Arabidopsis thaliana: one gene and its partners. The protein of the gene in region 3 purifies or fractionates together with the protein of the main gene of each other region. This does not show direct contact. Each region holds a gene or a part of one and is shown on either strand. Other genes may lie near its edges.

The links.
Region 1: the proteins of AT3G25880 (region 3) and UBA1 fractionate together in Arabidopsis thaliana (co-fractionation; one large-scale study listed by BioGRID). This does not show direct contact.
Region 2: the proteins of AT3G25880 (region 3) and UBA 2 fractionate together in Arabidopsis thaliana (co-fractionation; one large-scale study listed by BioGRID). This does not show direct contact.

The regions. Positions count from the first base shown.
Region 1 is NC_003071.7:12,855,604-12,859,360, reverse strand, and holds the start of UBA1 (ubiquitin-activating enzyme 1), read left to right. Parts: upstream 1-1,633; 5' UTR 1,634-1,850; intron 1,851-1,975; 5' UTR 1,976-1,991; coding exon 1,992-2,322; intron 2,323-2,684; coding exon 2,685-2,902; intron 2,903-3,199; coding exon 3,200-3,757. UniProt on the Arabidopsis thaliana protein: Activates ubiquitin by first adenylating its C-terminal glycine residue with ATP, and thereafter linking this residue to the side chain of a cysteine residue in E1, yielding a ubiquitin-E1 thioester and free AMP.
Region 2 is NC_003076.8:1,968,134-1,971,890, forward strand, and holds the start of UBA 2 (ubiquitin activating enzyme 2), read left to right. Parts: upstream 1-1,826; 5' UTR 1,827-1,945; intron 1,946-2,096; 5' UTR 2,097-2,105; coding exon 2,106-2,427; intron 2,428-2,768; coding exon 2,769-2,986; intron 2,987-3,179; coding exon 3,180-3,757. Other genes in the region: AT5G06450 (Polynucleotidyl transferase, ribonuclease H-like superfamily protein), read right to left, coding at 1-356. UniProt on the Arabidopsis thaliana protein: Activates ubiquitin by first adenylating its C-terminal glycine residue with ATP, and thereafter linking this residue to the side chain of a cysteine residue in E1, yielding a ubiquitin-E1 thioester and free AMP.
Region 3 is NC_003074.8:9,468,502-9,471,855, reverse strand, and holds AT3G25880 (NAD(P)-binding Rossmann-fold superfamily protein), read left to right. Parts: upstream 1-1,822; coding exon 1,823-1,869; intron 1,870-1,980; coding exon 1,981-2,136; coding exon of another isoform or gene 2,137-2,143; exon of another isoform or gene 2,144-2,242; coding exon 2,243-2,264; 3' UTR 2,265-2,751; downstream 2,752-3,354. Other genes in the region: NIMIN-2 (NIM1-interacting 2), read left to right, coding at 967-1,335.

The DNA of each region.
Region 1 (3,757 bases), on a different chromosome or scaffold from region 3:
AAGTCAATCTTCTCTTGATGTATCACAGGTCTTCACCTACCTTTTCGTAGTCACGAAGCCATTTTTCTTCTTCCTTAGCTTGCTTCCAGGTTTCAACTGCATCTATTATGCCTTTCCTTCTTAAAGCTTCAGATTTTGCTTCCTCATATTAGCATCCAATGCAGCACCAATATCAGATAGAGCACGATCACCTGACAAGATAACTTATCTTTTAAGCATATCTAAATTGCTGTTTTTTTCTTACAAATAGAAGAGTTCTTCACTTACCCTCATTATCAGTTAGCTCAATACTGCCTGTCGAGCTCGACAAAATGCCTTTAACTCGTATTGCTTCTGAAGTACATTCACCTTCAGGGTTTCCCCAGTTTTAGTTTTCTTTGCCACTTTGTCAGCCTTGTCTTTATTAGCAATCCTCTTCGTTTTGGGAGCACCAGTGGATTCCTTTCTTTTACCAGCATCATTAGTACTCGTCTTGGGAAGATATTTTGCACAACTCCATTTTTGTTTTTTCTTAGGGTGATGAATGACTTGGCCTGAGGTGAGAAATTGAGAGTGTAGAGACTTTTGCCTTTGTAGTTATACTCTGCCAAACTCCATCCTTTTAGCCAATCATCCACAAACTCTATGGGTAAATCATCATGATACCTTAAGTAAGCTAGTTTAGAAGAAGTGCTCACAACTTCTTGACCCATTTGAAACTGATGAACATAGTAATTGACACTGCCCCACTTTATAAGAGCACCATTGCAATTAAAATATCCAAGATGAACATTTTTAGTTGGATAAAAGAAGACCCACGACTTGTTGCTTTCTCCCTCTAGAAATTGAAAGTTGATGAAATCTCACTCCCATGGACTGCGATCAAATATTTCAAGATCGTCTATCCATGGAATTGCAACATCAACTCCAAAATCTACACTTTTAACCAAACTAATCATAAGTTAAATTTCAATTTACAATCGTTTATTAATATAGTGATTAAGTAAGTTATCAAGTATTAATTTATAGAGTTTTATTTTTGTATAAACTAACCACGAGTTAAGGAGGTGTTATTGGTTTATGATTTCAAAAGAGTTTTAGTGACTTAAAGTATCATGTAGAATCTGTTGTTATTTAATCAAAAAAATTTAAAAGTATGTTAAAAGTTTGTGTTATTCATTAAAGATTTGTAAAAAGTAATCTAAAAATCTTCATAAATTTTAGATTATTGAATTCATACTTTTATAAAGTCAGTAAATTTTTTGTGTTATTCTATTAAAACAAAAAAATCTCTGATTGTTTATGATTTAAATTATTATGTTATTGGTTCATGACTTTCTACATTTTCTTTCACAAAATAAAGTCATAGAAAGTCATGAATTTTTTTTCAAAAGATTGTTTTGAGAAACTTTAGAAGAAAATGTATTTAATTATAATATTCATAGCTGGAAATTGATCTAATATTTAATTATAATATTAAAGTTTCCAGTTATCCAAAAGAAGATGTGAGTTTTTTTGAACTTGGTAATTAAAAAAAGAAAGCAATATTTCAGATTTAATACAGATTCATAAGAAGGATCCATAAGAAATTAACTAAACCGGATCTGGTCTTGAAATAGTGACGGACGCGTGTCCCCCGGTCAGAGAGTTGCCGTCACAATCACGCGGAGAAAGAGCGACAAATCAAACCTTAACCGTTAAAACGTCATCGTTTCATATCCCCCCACAACCGAACCCCTTTCGTTCGCCCGTCTCTCTTAAATAAATCTTAGAGATTTCTGCAAAATTCGTCACTTCAATTTCAATTTTCAGATCTCAAAAACTTTTTCTCTTTTCCGATTCCAATCTTCTCTCGTCTGCTTTCCTCAAAGGTACGTTTTATCTTCCTTCTCATAGCTTCCGAAGAATCAATCTAGGGTTAGGTATTTCAATTCTGATCGGATTTTCTCTCTTCAGTGTTCTCTAATCTAATGGGAATTTCACATGTTTTCTCCAGGTTTTTTCATCACTTTATGCTTCACAAGCGAGCTAGTGAAGCTAACGATAAGAACGATAATACCATCATCGGTTCCGATTTAGCATCATCTAAGAAACGCCGTATCGATTTCACTGAATCTTCGTCTGATAAGTCTTCTTCGATTTTAGCTTCTGGTAGTAGCAGGGGTTTTCACGGCGATAGCGTCGTTCAGCAAATCGACATGGCTTTTGGTAATTCGAACCGTCAGGAGATTGATGAAGATCTGCACAGTCGCCAGCTCGCCGTCTATGGTCGTGAGACTATGAGGCGTCTCTTTGCTTCCAATGTTCTCATCTCGGGGATGCACGGTCTTGGTGCCGAGATTGGTATGTACTTCATTGGTTTTATGTTGAGATTGTGGTCTCCCTCGTCTCTTTGGTTTTTGAAACTTGTAGAAACACTGTTTTCGTATGCGTCGTTATTAGAAGCTGTGAATAATTGTGTCATCTTCAAAGATTTTACTCTTTAGTTGTTTTGTTTTGGTTCTCCTGATCTGTGATTGCTGGTATTCTTCAACATCCAAATCTTAGTAGCTTCCTGATGTTCCTTAGTTGTTCGATATCTTTGTTATTGGGGTTTCGTTATATGCCAGTTTTCTAAGATGCATGGTAAATGTGAACTGTTAATGATACTTTTTAGTCGATTGCTTTCTCATTCAGTTTTTGTTTTATTTGTTGATTTTCTTCAGCCAAGAATCTTATACTTGCTGGTGTGAAGTCTGTGACCTTGCATGATGAAAGAGTTGTAGAGCTATGGGACTTATCAAGCAACTTTGTTTTCTCGGAGGATGATGTTGGCAAGAATAGAGCAGATGCTTCTGTTCAGAAGTTACAGGATCTTAACAATGCTGTGGTTGTCTCTAGCTTGACCAAAAGCTTAAACAAAGAGGATCTTTCTGGCTTCCAGGTTTGTAGACAACTCATTTGTCTTGTTATTGGTTCTATATGGTCTGAGTCTTTTGTGTACTGTATCGTTCTGTAGATTACTTGTGAGTTTATGATAACACTGTAACTGAATGAGTAACATAAGAGTGGGTTGTTCTATTTTCGTTGCATATAAGAGATGGGTTTTGTCTCATTTAGTGTTAGGCTATTTCTAGTGTTTATTGATATTGATATGGAAGATTGGTGTACACTTTTCTCATTGGTGTGTGTTTCTTGTTGGCGGGTTTTACGCTGATACATCTACTTTTGTGCCAAACAGGTTGTTGTATTCTCTGACATAAGCATGGAAAGAGCAATCGAATTTGATGACTATTGTCACAGCCATCAGCCTCCTATCGCTTTTGTCAAGGCTGATGTCAGGGGTCTTTTCGGCTCTGTCTTTTGTGATTTTGGGCCTGAATTTGCGGTTCTTGATGTTGATGGAGAGGAACCCCATACAGGCATCATTGCGTCTATCTCTAATGAGAACCAGGCATTTATTTCCTGTGTCGACGATGAGAGGCTTGAGTTTGAAGATGGTGACCTAGTTGTTTTCTCAGAAGTTGAGGGTATGACAGAATTGAATGATGGGAAACCAAGGAAGATAAAAAGTACACGGCCATATTCATTCACCCTTGATGAGGACACTACTAACTATGGAACATATGTGAAGGGTGGTATTGTCACTCAAGTGAAACAGCCAAAGTTACTGAATTTCAAGCCATTGAGGGAAGCGCTTAAGGATCCAGGGGATTTTCTATTTAGTGATTTCTCTAAGTTTGATCGGCCTCCACTCCTTCACTTAGCATTCCAGGCACTTGATCATTTTAAAGCTGAA
Region 2 (3,757 bases), on a different chromosome or scaffold from region 3:
TCTTCCTCGATCTGCACTCCAACAAAAGTGACAAACTTGGAAGCAAAGAAACGGTACAGATCCTTGAGATTGTCATGAAAAGGTTTAGGAAGTCGAAGGAAGAGACATAAGTTTCTAGTGCTCAGCTTCACCGATGACAGACTCCACCCTGACGTTTTGGTTTTGGTTTCAGTTTCAGGAAACCCCACATCCCAGTACACATCGAAGATCACCGCTCGGTTTCCATTCAAGATAGAATCTTCTCTTATAAGTGAAAGGTATGGAGAGATATCTGTTGATGATCCAACATCAATGGTCTTAGTCTGAACATAGGAGCCATCAGTCATCTTGAACTTTGGCCCATCAAAGGAGGCCATGTGATGAAAAAACACTAAAGAATATTCACAAATCAAATTAGATTCAACGATAACTGACAAAGTTGTAGCTAAACTTATCTCAATACTAATAGAAGTGGAAAGTAAGATAGTGAATCCAATCATCACTCATATAACTTGAGCACCAATAAGGTTTCCTCTTTTTTATAAAAAACTACAAGTATTCATGAGTTGGAAACTTGGAGAAATTGGGTGAAGAAAGGACCACACATTGAATAAACAATGATCTAGCATCGAATTGATCAAAGTAGAGGTAAACAAACTTTTTTTTTAGTTTTGGCTACAAATACCATTGATCACTCCCCCTAGTTCTAGGTTTCATGACCTTTCTGTGCATCAAAAGATAACAAGAAAGAAGCGAAACTTTTTGTTCTATATCTCTTAGACTAATTAACTAATGGAGAAACAAAAACATTTGATTCTATCTTAGTTCTTGTAACCCAAAACGATCGATCCGAGAGATAAAATCCCCTAACTATCATCTGAAATTGGAATCATACTAGTCAAATTCAACTTAAAAGAGACATTAACTGATGAGAAGTTAAGAGGAGGACGAACCTTGAAATTTCGCGTCCGGTTAGGGATCGTAGTAAGCGAGGAACAGTTCTTCTGGTTTCTGCTGGAAGAGAGAAGACTAAATCCCCGCGAGGGAAGAAGAAATCACGAAATGGAGACACATTTCCTCAGCTTGCTTAACCAACCATACGTTAGTAATTTAAGCTGACCAATCCGGTTCAACCGAAATTCTATGTCTTTTGAATGTTTTTCTTGACTTTTTTTTTTAAGGGGTCCTTGTCAATCTTTGTTACCAACGCCAATTCACACAAGAAATATAATGTGAGACATTTTTCATCGTTATCATACAACCGTGAATATACTTGTCAAGCAATGTTGGTCAAATTCTCAAGATACAAGAGTTTTTTTTCACGCTAATGTAGTCACACTACAAATCCATTAATATTATTTTTTTCGTTTAGAAATCACACATAAAACATAGATTGTGTTTGTTGGTATAAGTGATAGAGAGAGCATCCCCATATCATTTTCCAAACACAAATGCTCACACCAAAATGGTTGAGTTCATAAGGTACATTTCCACACATTATGCTTAAGTTTCACTCTTATTACACTTCTTTGAAATGTCTATTAATCTTTAGGAATTAGCAAGTACGACACACATTCAAATATCCAACAACTACTCTCTCTTTATCAATCAACAAATAAAAAACAAAACTTGATTGATTAACAATTTCAAAGTTTAAATTCAATCACACCTAACCTGAATTAAAATTTGGTCTATTGCATACTCAAATCCGGTTCAATGTTACAAGACCAAAACCAGATATTTATCTTAAACTGGTCCACTTGAAAAAACGAAAAAACTTACCACACAACACAGGCTGATTCTGAATTCAGCACAAATAGTTTCAAAGCCCAACAATCATCGCCCAATTTTTGTTATATACCGCCGCTTCTTTCTACACAACCTACAAAGCCAAAAGCTTAGTATACTCTCTCTTTCTACTTTAACAACAAATTCGCCGCTTATCGCCTCCGATCTTCTCTCAAAGGTACGGTTTCGTTTTCATTTCCTCCGATTCTCGTTTCTTCTTCAGATTCCTTCATCGATTAGCTCTAGGAACCTTCTCATCGGAATTCATTTATTGTCTTTGTTTGTTATTCGAAGCTTCTTCTGTTTATTTGATACATATTCTCTTTCAGTTACTCTATATGGAACCATTCGTTGTTAAGGAGAACATCATCGCATCTGCTTCTTCGCCGATGAAGAAGCGACGGATCGATCACACTGAGTCAGCTGATGGTTCTGCGATTAACGCTTCTAACTCCAGTAGCATCGGTTTGAACAACAGCATCGGTGGTAACGATACGGTGATGAGCATGGCGGAGTTTGGTAACGACAACTCCAACAATCAGGAGATCGATGAAGATCTTCATAGCAGACAGCTCGCCGTTTACGGCCGTGAGACTATGAGGAAGCTTTTCGCTTCCAACGTTCTCATCTCTGGGATGCAGGGCCTTGGTGTTGAGATTGGTAACGATTTTTGTACTTTTCGTTGTTAATTTCTGCTTGCATGTTATTCCTGTGCTTGTCCTGCTGGTTGTTAAAGAGCTTCAAGCTTGAGCAAACGTATTTCGTGATTAAGCTGTTTTGATGTTGTGTGTACATTTGGGCACTTGAAGTTGAGATTGTAAAATTGGTATATTAACTTGTTAATCCTGATTTTCTAATGAGTTAGTGACACATTATATAATGGAAGGATTATTCAATATTCACTATAGATTTGTAATGAACTAATGACTGGTATAGCTCTTTATTCTCTTCGTTATTTCCTTCTTTCTGATGGATGATTTTTTTTTTTTTTTCTTATTTAGCCAAGAATATTATTCTAGCTGGTGTGAAGTCAGTGACCCTTCACGATGAAAATGTGGTTGAGCTATGGGACCTATCTAGTAACTTTGTTTTCACGGAGGAGGACATTGGTAAGAATAGAGCACTTGCTTCTGTTCACAAGTTGCAAGAACTCAACAATGCTGTGGCTGTCTCAACTTTGACTGGGAAGTTAACCAAAGAGCAGCTTTCTGATTTCCAGGTATCCAAACCCTTCCTTTATTTGGTTTGTCTTTGCTTCCTTGTTCTAGTTGTTAATAATACTATCATGATTCATGGACATAATTATCTGTAAAAGAGATTAGAGGTGACTGAACGTGGATGAAAACGTTTCTACTAAAAGTACAGAATGTTTGGCTTTAGTGGTTGATTTCTTTTTTTTTTCCTTGATGCAGGTTGTGGTATTTGTGGATATCTCTTTTGAGAAAGCGACAGAGATTGATGATTATTGTCACAGTCATCAGCCTCCTATTGCATTCATCAAGGCTGATGTTAGGGGGCTGTTTGGGTCTTTGTTTTGTGATTTTGGACCTCATTTTACTGTTCTTGATGTTGATGGGGAGGAACCTCACTCTGGCATCATCGCTTCTGTTAGCAATGAAAATCCTGGATTTGTTTCGTGTGTCGATGATGAGAGGCTCGAGTTTGAAGATGGAAATTTGGTTGTTTTCTCTGAAGTTGAGGGAATGACAGAGCTAAATGATGGAAAACCAAGGAAGATAAAAAATGTCAAGCCATTTTCATTTACCCTGGAGGAAGACACCTCTAGCTATGGGCAATATATGAAGGGTGGCATTGTGACTCAGGTTAAACAACCAAAGGTGTTGAACTTTAAACCTCTTAGAGAAGCACTTAAAGATCCAGGCGACTTTCTTCTAAGTGACTTTTCAAAGTTTGACCGACCACCTCTTCTCCACTTAGCATTCCAAGCACTTGATAGGTTTTCGTCTCAAGCAGGCCGATTTCCGTTTGC
Region 3 (3,354 bases):
ATAATGTGTTTCTCAGAAATAGCACGAAATATTTATAAAAAGCATGCAATTCTCTTATAGATCGCGAAGTTTAAAAAAACATATAGAATTGTTACAATATTACATGGGTTTTTATTGGATAACATGACAAATATTTATTTATTTCATGAGTTTTTATTGGATAGCATGACAAATATTAATATATCAGTGTTAATAACATGTTTTGTTCTTAAAATACATGCATTTTAAAATCAGACATTTGTTTTAAAATCAAATCTAATCTCTTATATCACAACGACATTGACGGAAAATTCAGGTAAAAAGAGAAAATAAAGAATGAGAGATAGAGAGATTTCTATGGAAAAAGAAAGAGAGAACATGTAGGTGAACAAAATAAAGAGATATGATGATATATTTTATGAGAGGTGGTGAAGATTATTTTAGGAGAGGGAGAGAGAAATAGAAAAAGAAAATGACATGGTGAATCTGAAGAAGATGAATTGTGTTAAAGATGAAGAGAGAAAGAGAACTCCATGGCTAAAGTCTCGTAAAGAAGATGAAAAAGAAACAAAAGAAGGAAGAAGAAAGAGAAAGGCTAAAATAGACTAACTATTGCCAAAATTTCTGTAGCCGACAAATACTATTTGGTCCAAGGTTATTTTGTGTATTCTTTTGAAGTCAAAAGTTATTTCTTACATATACTCTAAAAATATAGCCGATACCAATTTTTCCACACATGGACTTCCTTTATTCCAAAAGTCAATAAAGTGTGACGTCATGATACTTACGCTTTAAAACATCGCATGATGATGTCATTAGCATCAATCTCCACCGTCCAATTTATTTAGTTGTTGACAATATCGACCGTCTAAGTTCCACACCGACGGCTATAAGAGTTTCATTATAAATTTTAGCAAAATAAAATCAGCAAATAATTTTTTCTTGACTAAGCTTAAACGACGCCGTTAACATTTTCTTCTGGCTAACATGAACAACTCTTTGAAGAAAGAAGAACGCGTAGAAGAAGATAACGGAAAATCTGACGGTAACAGAGGGAAACCGTCGACGGAAGTTGTTCGGACGGTAACGGAGGAAGAGGTGGATGAGTTTTTCAAGATATTACGGAGAGTACACGTGGCGACACGAACGGTTGCGAAAGTTAACGGCGGTGTTGCTGAGGGAGAGTTACCGTCTAAGAAGAGGAAACGGAGTCAGAATCTTGGGTTGAGAAACTCGTTGGATTGTAACGGCGTTCGAGACGGAGAATTCGATGAGATTAATCGGGTCGGGTTACAGGGTTTGGGTTTGGATCTGAACTGTAAACCGGAACCAGACAGCGTTAGTTTATCGTTGTAGACTTGTAGTCCTTCATGTTTTTCCCCTTCTTACAATAATCAATTTTTTTTTAACTACAATACTTTTGAAAAAAATGGTAAAAGAAGATTATTAACATGTTATCCAAATTTCAGATTCTTCAGTTTTATTTTATACGTCAAAAGAGAAGTTATATATTTGCAAAACTACAAGTCAAACAAAAGCTATTTAAGCGTTTGACGTTCCTAAACAACATAAATTTTACTAAAATCAATGTTTTAAAAAAGTGTTGATGGTAAAGATATCAATTGGGCCTTTGCCTGGCCCGTTTAGTAATATTGCAGAGTAGGTATGGGCCTGTATAAGGGAGTCCAAAAAAAGAGCGGGCATTGCGGGTTGGGTGCGTTTGGAACTTTGGATTGTGGATTAGTCATGGTTTATCTATTAATGTCTGCGGACTTGTGGACGACGCGCTTGTTCTTCTTCCTCTGTTTACGACTTACGAACATATGATCTCTCATCTCTAACAATGATGGAACCTAAAGCCAAGTACGATCGTCAACTCATGTATACTATGTTAGTCTCTTCGAACTCTACATTTGTATTATTCTATCGATCTTCGAACGAATCTTGTTGGGAGGAAATTTTATGAAGTAATCGTTGATTGATTAGGATTTTGAGGTGAAGTCAAGGGACTTTGGAAGAAGCGAGTATCTGTTTACTCAATTGTGGTCCTATTGGTTCCAATGCCTTGAAGAATCTCGTCCTTGGTGGTGTTGGTAGTATCACCATCGTTGAAGGATCCAAGGTTCTAATTGGAGACATTTGGAAACAATTTCATAGGTACTAAGTAATGACTAGTTTTTGATTTTTTTTGTTGCTATTTTTAGATGCTATTTGTGTAGTTAAATAGTTATGACATCTCTTTTTCGTCGTTGTTTGGTTATAGCTGGTGGAAGATTCAATGGTGAACCTAGATATTAACGATGGAGTAGACTGAACAGTTTGTGTTTGGTGATAACACAGAATTACAAAACTTGTGGAATAACCATTTATTACGGTCAAAGTCTCTTGTCTTCAAAGGCATGCAATAGAACAGAAGTTCTCCATAAGCGAAGGTTTCAGAGACGAGAACAACACTGTGTTTCAGAGACGAGAACAACACAGTGTGTTTCAGAGACAACTAGAACAGAACAGGATTGCGGGCCAGACCGTTAGACCAATGGACATTGCGAGGCGAATATGGGCTTCGATTGGTCGCATGTGGTCGTTGGCGGACCGGACCACCACTTATGGAAAAGAAGCACGGGCCATCACGGACCCCCCATTTGGTCGCGTGCTCGCCCGTCTGACATCCCTAGTTGATCGTCATCTAGATTTTAGACGTTTATGTGATATCTAAATAACCGTTTTGGCTGTCTAAAATTCCATAAGTTTTATTTTAGTTTATTTTTTAGTTTTCAACTATATAAATTTAAATTATAAGTTTTAGCTTTGTATATATTGTTTGTTTCCAACTATATAAATTTAAATTATAAGTTTTAGCTTTGTATATATTGTTTGTTTCCAACTATATCAATTTAAATTATAAGTTTTAGCTTTGTATATATTGTTTGCTATGAATTATAAATGGTTTTATCTAAGTTTTGTTTATAATTTCATATTTTTATTTTTCTAAGAGATAGTTTTCTATGAATTTTATTTATAATATAATATTTATAATATGTTATGTTGTAAATGTGTAGCCGCTTAAAATCTCCTAAATCATGATTAGACGTTCTAGGCGTAGATCACCACCTCTTAAGTAGCTAGTTAGATTTAGCAGATTATCCAGTTATCATGCAGATTAATTGTATTAGATAGATTTTGGTAAGATAGGTGAATTTAGCCTAATGCTTTTAAATTTATGTATTTTAAAATTAGTGAATACTGAATACTCATATTTCTTGCTTATGTATTTTGATTAATTTAAAATATACAATTTATTTCTATTAACTTGTTTTTATTATGTTATATTAATACAGAAATATATTTTATTTTTATTTGAAAACTATTTAAACC